Astyanax mexicanus: one gene and its partner. The protein of the gene in region 1 interacts with the protein of each later gene in a pairwise test. Links are inferred from orthologs where the notes say so. Each region holds a gene or a part of one and is shown in the gene's direction. Other genes may lie near its edges.

What was found.
Region 2: the proteins of fam189a2 (region 1) and NEDD4-like E3 ubiquitin-protein ligase WWP1 interact in binary tests that used the Homo sapiens proteins (3 or more experiments, as listed by UniProt). The link is inferred for Astyanax mexicanus from reciprocal best matches to the Homo sapiens genes ENTREP1 and WWP1.

What each region holds. Positions count from the first base shown.
Region 1 is NC_064429.1:24,065,788-24,069,540, forward strand, and holds the start of fam189a2 (protein FAM189A2), read left to right. Parts: upstream 1-1,202; 5' UTR 1,203-1,483; coding exon 1,484-1,792; intron 1,793-3,753. UniProt on the Homo sapiens protein: Functions as an activator of the E3 ubiquitin protein ligase ITCH in the ubiquitination of the CXCL12-activated CXCR4 receptor. Thereby, triggers CXCR4 endocytosis and desensitization, negatively regulating the CXCL12/CXCR4 signaling pathway.
Region 2 is NC_064413.1:45,898,568-45,902,320, reverse strand, and holds the start of NEDD4-like E3 ubiquitin-protein ligase WWP1, read left to right. Parts: upstream 1-1,290; 5' UTR 1,291-1,338; intron 1,339-3,753. UniProt on the Homo sapiens protein: E3 ubiquitin-protein ligase which accepts ubiquitin from an E2 ubiquitin-conjugating enzyme in the form of a thioester and then directly transfers the ubiquitin to targeted substrates.

The sequences.
Region 1 (3,753 bases):
GTCCATCTTTATATACAGTCTATGTGCGATCCTTTTAAATGGCGATTCAATTAATTTGAATGGGGATTCGTTCTATTATTTTTTTTTCATTTTGATTCTTTTACAGGAAATTACTTTTAAGGGCATTTTTAAGTAGCTTTTAATGGCTATTTGATGATTCGATGATCTAGAAGCTTTTAAATAAGCGGCATGGTAAGACACCTTTAAGTATGTAGCATATGTTTAAAAGCTTTTAAATCTGTGGCATGATTTAGAAGCTTTTAACCTTCAGCATGATTTTAGAAGCTTTCACGTCTGTGTGGTGCTGGGACAAGGCAGTGTGAAGGAGAAGGAGCTTTGCTTTTTTTATTGGTTTGATTTATTAAAATCTGTTTGTGGTCATCTTATTTTAAGAAATGATTGATTTATTATAATGCACTCTAAGATGAGAGCATGACTGCTGTTTGGTTTAAATAAAAAAGAATCAGCAAAATCATCTTTCTTCACTCCCACTCTCTCCCTTTCTTTTTTCTTTCTCTCTTGTTCTCCCTCTTTTTCTTTCTCTCTCTTGTTCTCTATCTCTCTCTGTCACAGTCACTTGTTCTCTATCTTCTTTTTTCTAACTCTTGTTCTTTCCCTTTAGTCCTGTTCTTTCTCTTTTTCTACTGTTTTTCTCATTTCCTTTTTTTCTCCCTCTTGTTTTCACACACTCTTGTTCTCTCATTCTCTTTTTCTTGTTCTCTTGCTTTCTTTCTCTTTCTCCCTCACACACTCTTGTACTCTCTTGTTCTTTCTCTTTTGCTCTCACACACACACTCTCTTTTTTCTTTTTTCTCTTTTTCTCTCTCCTTTTCTCTTGTTCTCTTTGTCACACACTCTTTCTCTTGTTCTTTCTTTTTTTCTCCTGTTCTCTTTTCCTTTTGTTCTCTTGCTTTCTTTCTCTTTCTCCCATTCACACTCTTGTTCTCTCTTGTTCTTTCTCTCTTTCTTTCTCTTGTTCTTTTTTTCTCTGTCATACACATCTCTCTTTTTCTCCTTTAATCTTTTTTCTTGTTATCTCGCTTTCTGTCTCTCTTATTCTTTCTCTTTTTCTCTTTTGTTATCTCTCCAATTCTCTCTCCTTTTCTCTTGTTCTCTCGCTTTCTTTCTTTTTCTCCCTATATTTCTCTCACACACTCTTGTTCTCTCTCTCTCTCTCTCTCTCTCTCTCTCTCTCAGTGCAGGGTGGTCTATTCCCACACACTCCTCCTCCTCCTCCTCCTCCTCTTCTTCTCTTGTCTCTTTGCCAACTATGTGAAACGCAATCCGGGCGCCAGGAGTTATTTTAGACCCTCGTGTTCTCTGTTTCTTTCTCTCCACCTCGAGAGGATCATGGACGGAGCGCTGAGGGGATCCAGCAGCTCCTCCCGCCGGTTTCAGCTGAACCCATTCGGAGTAAAATGAGGGACCCGAGCCGCCTCCGCTCCCCGGTCACTGCTGCTCCTCTCCTGGCCGCTCTTCTCCAATGTCTCTGCCGGTAGTCCTGCCCGGTTCCTGCTGTCGCTTAGCCCGGGCTTCTCTAGCCCCTCACTTCGGAGAGCCCTCGCCGTCTTCCAGAGGCCGCAGCCGCTGCTGCTCGGCCGCCGCTCGGTGGCGAATGTCCGGCTCCCAGGCGCGGCTCTCCCCCGCGCTGCTGCCCGCTCGACCGCTGCTCTCGCTCGGGCTGCTGCAGCTGGTCCTCGGCTGCTCCATGGTAGCGCTGTCCTTTGGGGCTCTGTCCCTCAGTAACTCGCCTCCCATCCGGAATTCGTGCCCGTTTTGGGCAGGATCTTCAGTGAGTACCTCAGTGTCTGAGATTTAGCTTCATTTTTAGTTATTAAATACGTGTCCTGCAGTGTTTGCTTTGTGTTCCGTCGTGTTTATAAAAAATGTAAACAAGCTGCTTCCTATAAGATTTTCAGTCTGTCATGTTTACATTATATAGGTTTACCTGCATGTTCCAGTTTTCTTTGGTTGTTTTTGAGTATGATTTATAGTAGTGGTAGTGTAAAGCTGTTGTTGTGAACACCACAGGTAAGCTTTAGCTTATACTTGATTAGCTAATTAATTAGTGTTTGATTGAGTTAATAGGATTTCCCTGCTGAAAAATCCACCCCAATACCAGCTTTTGCTAGTAGCTGGTTTTGATGGTCTTTCAGGGGCAATGTGCTTGAATAGCTGGTTACCAAATAAAAAAAATGATGGATTTGGTATACTGCTTCAAAGCCACATTATGTTTATGTGAACTTCAATTTTGGTCACAGATAGAAAAGTTATAACCCAGCTTGTTGACTAACTACTCCCAGTATTGTCTATGTTGCTTTTGAGTTTGGTCATGTTAGTCCAGCTTGGTCTTGTTGGTCAGGTTGGTCCTTCTTATAGAACCAGATAAACCATCAAACCCAAACAAAAAAAGTGTACTGAAGACCTAATCTGACAAACCATTTTACCCCCAGCAAGGATATAATGAACAGTATATGACCACAATTCTGTTACCTGCAATTACTTTCAGTGACCTCAAGCTTTGGCCATATTTATCTCAAATACAAACACTGAGATGAGCGGATGACCTGTGATGTGTTTATAATGTGGTGATACAGTAGCGAGTCAGTGTTTATAGTTTTTGGTGTGTTGTAGTATTGTTTCCTTAAGTACTGACATATTTAGACAAACACCTTCTCATTTGATGTTTTTTCCTTTTATTTTCTACATTGCAGTTCATATTGAAAACGATGAAACTACTTAATAAATAATATTTTTTCATAGAAACAGTGTTAAACCAGAATATTTTTTTATTCGATTCTTCACATCAGTCCTGATTTGCTTTAATGACAGCTTTAAACAGTCTGGGTCATTTTTTTCTCTTGTTCAGCTTCATAAGTCACTGTGAATATTTTTCTAACAATCTTGAAGTGGTTACCTGAAGTGTGTAAAGTCCATATGTATTTCTTCATAGTATATTTCTTCAATATTAACCAAATATTAATCTGCACAAAAAACAATGAGAAGGTGTGTCCAAACTTTTGGCCCATGTATTGCTAAAGATTTCTCTTATACAAACACACTGGCCTGTAGTGTACAATTTCTCTCATCTCGGATGAGGTTGATCAGATGTGTTTGGTGTCTAAAATTGTTTTTTTTTGCTAAAGCTTTGAAACTATACTAAACTACTAACTATAGTAAAAATGTATAATAGCTATATTTTACAAAAGTAATACTTATCATAAGTTCAAGTCCAAACTAACGAAGCAAACTTCAGGTACCAAACATGTCTTGGCCAATCAATTACGCTCAACTATGTAGCTATGTATCGATTAGCTATTACATAAGAACCACTGACAGCCGCAGCAAAAAAATATATTGATTATCTTGGTCTTCAGTGGGATTTAACATATTATGCAGCAAGTGAACAGTCATTTTTGAAGGTGATGTTAAAAACACAAAACATGGACAAAAATCAGGATTTGACCCGCTTTGACAATAGCGTAACTATGACGGCTAGACAACTATGGGCTTAGAGCATCTCTTAAACATCAGGTGGTTGTGGGTTTTTTTCTGCAATGTGGTCCAAAAAAGGACAACCTGTGAACTGGCAACAGGTTAAGGGGCACCTTAAGGGGCAGCTCATTGATGCAATCTGTTCAGGCCCAAACTCACAACATACAGAGCTTAATGGATCTGCTGCTGGTAACATGTTGGTGCCAGATACCACATGATGCCTTCAGAGCTAATGTGCAGTCAGTGCCTGACAGAATG
Region 2 (3,753 bases), on another chromosome or scaffold:
CATGCCACAGCATCTCAATCAGACTTTGACTAGGCCTCTCCAAAAACTTAATTTTGAGCCATTTAGTGGACTTGCTCTTGTGCTTCGGACCATTGTCCTGCTGCAGAACCCAAGTAGGGCTGAGAATTTTTGATCAGCAGAGGTTTTTGCCTTGGAACTCTCCCATGGATACCCAGTCTCTTTCTTTTTATTAGATCATTAACACTGCCTTTAACTGAGACAAGACCTTAACACTTTTAATTCTTTACACAATAATTCCTCATGTGATCCTGTATAGCTTTAATGTCTTCAATATTAAATTTACAATGTAAAAAAAAACACATTGGGCTCTATTGTACCTATCTGTATGCAGCTAAAGGCATGTACTAATTTTCTTAATTATTTATGGTTATGTTTTAAGCATAATGTAAAATAAACCAATCACTCTGTCTCTTGCCATTCCCTCTGACTTTGGCCGATGGCGTATCGCTTCTGTGCTTCTTTGCAGATGTGTGACCAGGTCATTTTTCAGGGACAGCAATGTTATTTTATTGTGTGTTTTGTTTATTGTTGATGTAAAAGTTGAGTCTGTGCTCTGTTGTGTGACTTGCGTGTGTGTGTAATGCATGCCGTTGAGCATGCACAGCACACCTGCATTGCCAAGATAGCAATGAGCATGTTGACTGTTGTCAGAGTTTAATCAGTAAGTGGCGCACCTATGTTTTTCACTGCCAAGATAGCAACATGACAGAAATTTACAGAAATGTGATATATTTGTAAACTCCGTCACTATTTAAACAGTACAGGGCTGTTGGCGTGGTGTATGATAGCACAAAACTCACCTTGCACAGGGTGTAAAATAGGACCCATTAAATGAGAAATGAGAAGAGGTGTGTCCAAACCACTGACTGGTACTGTAAGTAGGTAAGTAAGGTGGAGAACAAGATTTGCCCTTTGGACTTAGTTGAAGTAATAACTTCAATATTTTTGTTGAATGTTGAAGTTATAAGAGATACTAAGTTACATGGTTCTTTAAATTACGTCATTGGACGTGTGGAGGGGTTTCTCTGCGGTGTGTGAATCTGGATATCAGAGAGAGAGAAAGAGAGAGGGAGAGAGAGACAGACAGACACAGGGAGAGAGAGAGAGAGAGAGAGAGAGAGAGAGAGAGAGAGAGAGAGAGAGAGAGAGAGAGAGAGAGAGAGAGAGAGATGGTCAGACCAATGACTGTATAGCTCTGCCTGTCCAGCTTTGGAGAACAGACACACACACTGCTACAGAAGCAGTAGCAGAAACAGCTCAGCAGGAAAACACACTGACTGCGACCTCTCCGCTGAGAGGAGGAGGGCGACGGACTGTGTGAGTTTATATTTATTACACAGCTCTGATTTGTTTGTTTGCTTGTTTGGATGTTGTGTAGCTGCTGCTGATGTTGTTATTTGTATTGGAGGGGTTTTAACAGCTAACCCGGGATTGCCCTGGTAGTTATATGGTATTGTAGCTAGGTTAGCTAGCTAGCTAGCTTGTTATAAGCTGCGTTCACAGCTTCGGCAAGTATTTCTTCATGTTTATTTTATTAAGCTAACAAAGGTCAGCTGTTGTGGCTTACACACACACTTTAGTACACACTCTAACACACCTTCACACACACTCTCAGTGCAGTTTGAGTAAAAATGGCGGTCACTAGTGCAAGGCCCTGCCGATTTGTGCGAGGTTTATGTTGGTTTTTAGTGGAATTATCCGTTCCACCTTAAATGGTGTAGCAGTTGAATGCTGCAAATGCTGATCTGACAGAATGGAGCGGATGCACCGTTTTAAGGTGGAACGGATTCCGCTAAATCCGAGCAAATGAGCTAGGAAGCTAACCTAGGTTCAGTTTTAAAGGCTGTGACTTGTGACAGTAACATATTAAATGGTTTTGACAAACATCTGGATATAATTAAACAAAGCATGAGCAAAATTAGACAAAATAAAGCTAGGTTAGGTCATTAGATTAGCTAACTGTTAGCTAATAAACAAACATAGATAGCTAGCTAGCCAACTGTCTGTGCCTGCCTTTAGCCTAGCTTAGCTTAGCTTAGCTGATATGAAAAAGCTACGAAATAGCTAGCTAGCTAACTACTTAACTAAGCTAGATAAGTTAAATCGTCTCGGTTGTTTTGTGAGCATTGCCTAGTTGACAAACTAATTCTCCCCACATTAAGGTTAACTAGCTAACTTTGGGTTGGTGGGTGAAGTGACAGCTGTTTATTTAACGTTTGACTTTTTTAAGACGTTAGAGTACCCCTAACGATCTAGCTAGCAACGTTAGCATATCACAGGGCTACGCTAACTTAGCTTAGCTTGCTTAGCTAGTTACCGGTAATAAACAAAATTTGAGTTCACTGGCTGCTGAGGAAATGTATAACTTAACTGTTTTTTACAAGACAGTAAAAGGTTGGTGACCTTCTTGACACTTAATTTTAGAATTAATTAAACAGGTAATTTTAGCAAAGTTTATATTTTTTACAGTGCTAGTAACATGACTTGGACTTATGGACTTAGCTAATTATATATGTGAATTTTAGACTGTTTTTGAGTCTGTTGGATGTACACTTAAACTAAAGATCAGATCATAAGCAGAACATACAGCTAAATATAATGTCTAGTCTTAAATGGAGCCAAAATGTGGGGTAATAAGCTGACTTTTGCAGCAACTGGTGCATCCTGCTGCTGTATGTGTGTGTGTGTGTGTGTGTGTGTGTGTGTGCTTAGGCCAGCACTGAAGCGTAGGACTAGAGGTTAATCGAATACATTTTATTTACCAAATTATTGTTTTAATGCAATTGAATGGGATAATTGAGATTGTACATTTTTATATATAGAAGCTGGCAAAGAGATTTTTATAGATAGACACTTTCTTCTGAAGGCTTTTATGGAGCAGTGATTTCCATATTTTAAACTCCATTATGTGGTTTTGCTAAGTGTGTGACATGCGGTATAATGGCAAATGTTCATATCACTTCCATGTCCACAAGTGTATGAAACCAAGCACCTAGACATTAAGACTGAATCTATTAACATTAGTAAAAGAATGGGCAGCTTTCAGGAGCTCAGTGGATGCCAACATGGTATCGTGATAAAATGCCCCCTATGCAACAAGCCCAGTTAATTTTCTAATTACTAAATATTCCACAGTCAACTGTCAGTGATATAACAAAGTGGAAGCAACTAGGAATGACAGCAACTCTAACTGTAAAAGGCAATGTAAAAAATCAGAGCCGCAGCAAACACTGAGGTGCATGGTGCGCATTCAGTCTCTACAGACCTATAAAGACCTCTTATCAGTAAGAGTCCATGAGCTGCTTAGGGCCCCAGGATGCGATTCCAACCTATCTAACAACTTCACAACGCAAGAACTTGAACTGGTAATCCAATGCCTGAAGACTGGCAAGGCACCAGGCATAGACGGCATCCATTCTGAGTACATAAAACACCAAGGCAAGAAAGCAACTGACTGGCTCTGTTCCTTTCTCTCTGCATGCCTCCGGTACTTAAAGCTGCCCAAGATCTGGCGTTGTGCAAAGGTGATAGCCCTCCCGAAACCGAACAAGCCAAGCGATGACCCAAAGGGATACCGGCCCATCTCACTTCTGTGTGTTCCTTACAAGCTTCTTGAGCGTCTCGTCCTGGCACGCCTCACCCCAGTGATTGACCCCCAGTTGCCCAAAGAACAAGCTGGTTTCCGAAGTGGCAGATCAACAACAGATCAGGTGACCCTCCTGTGCCACGACA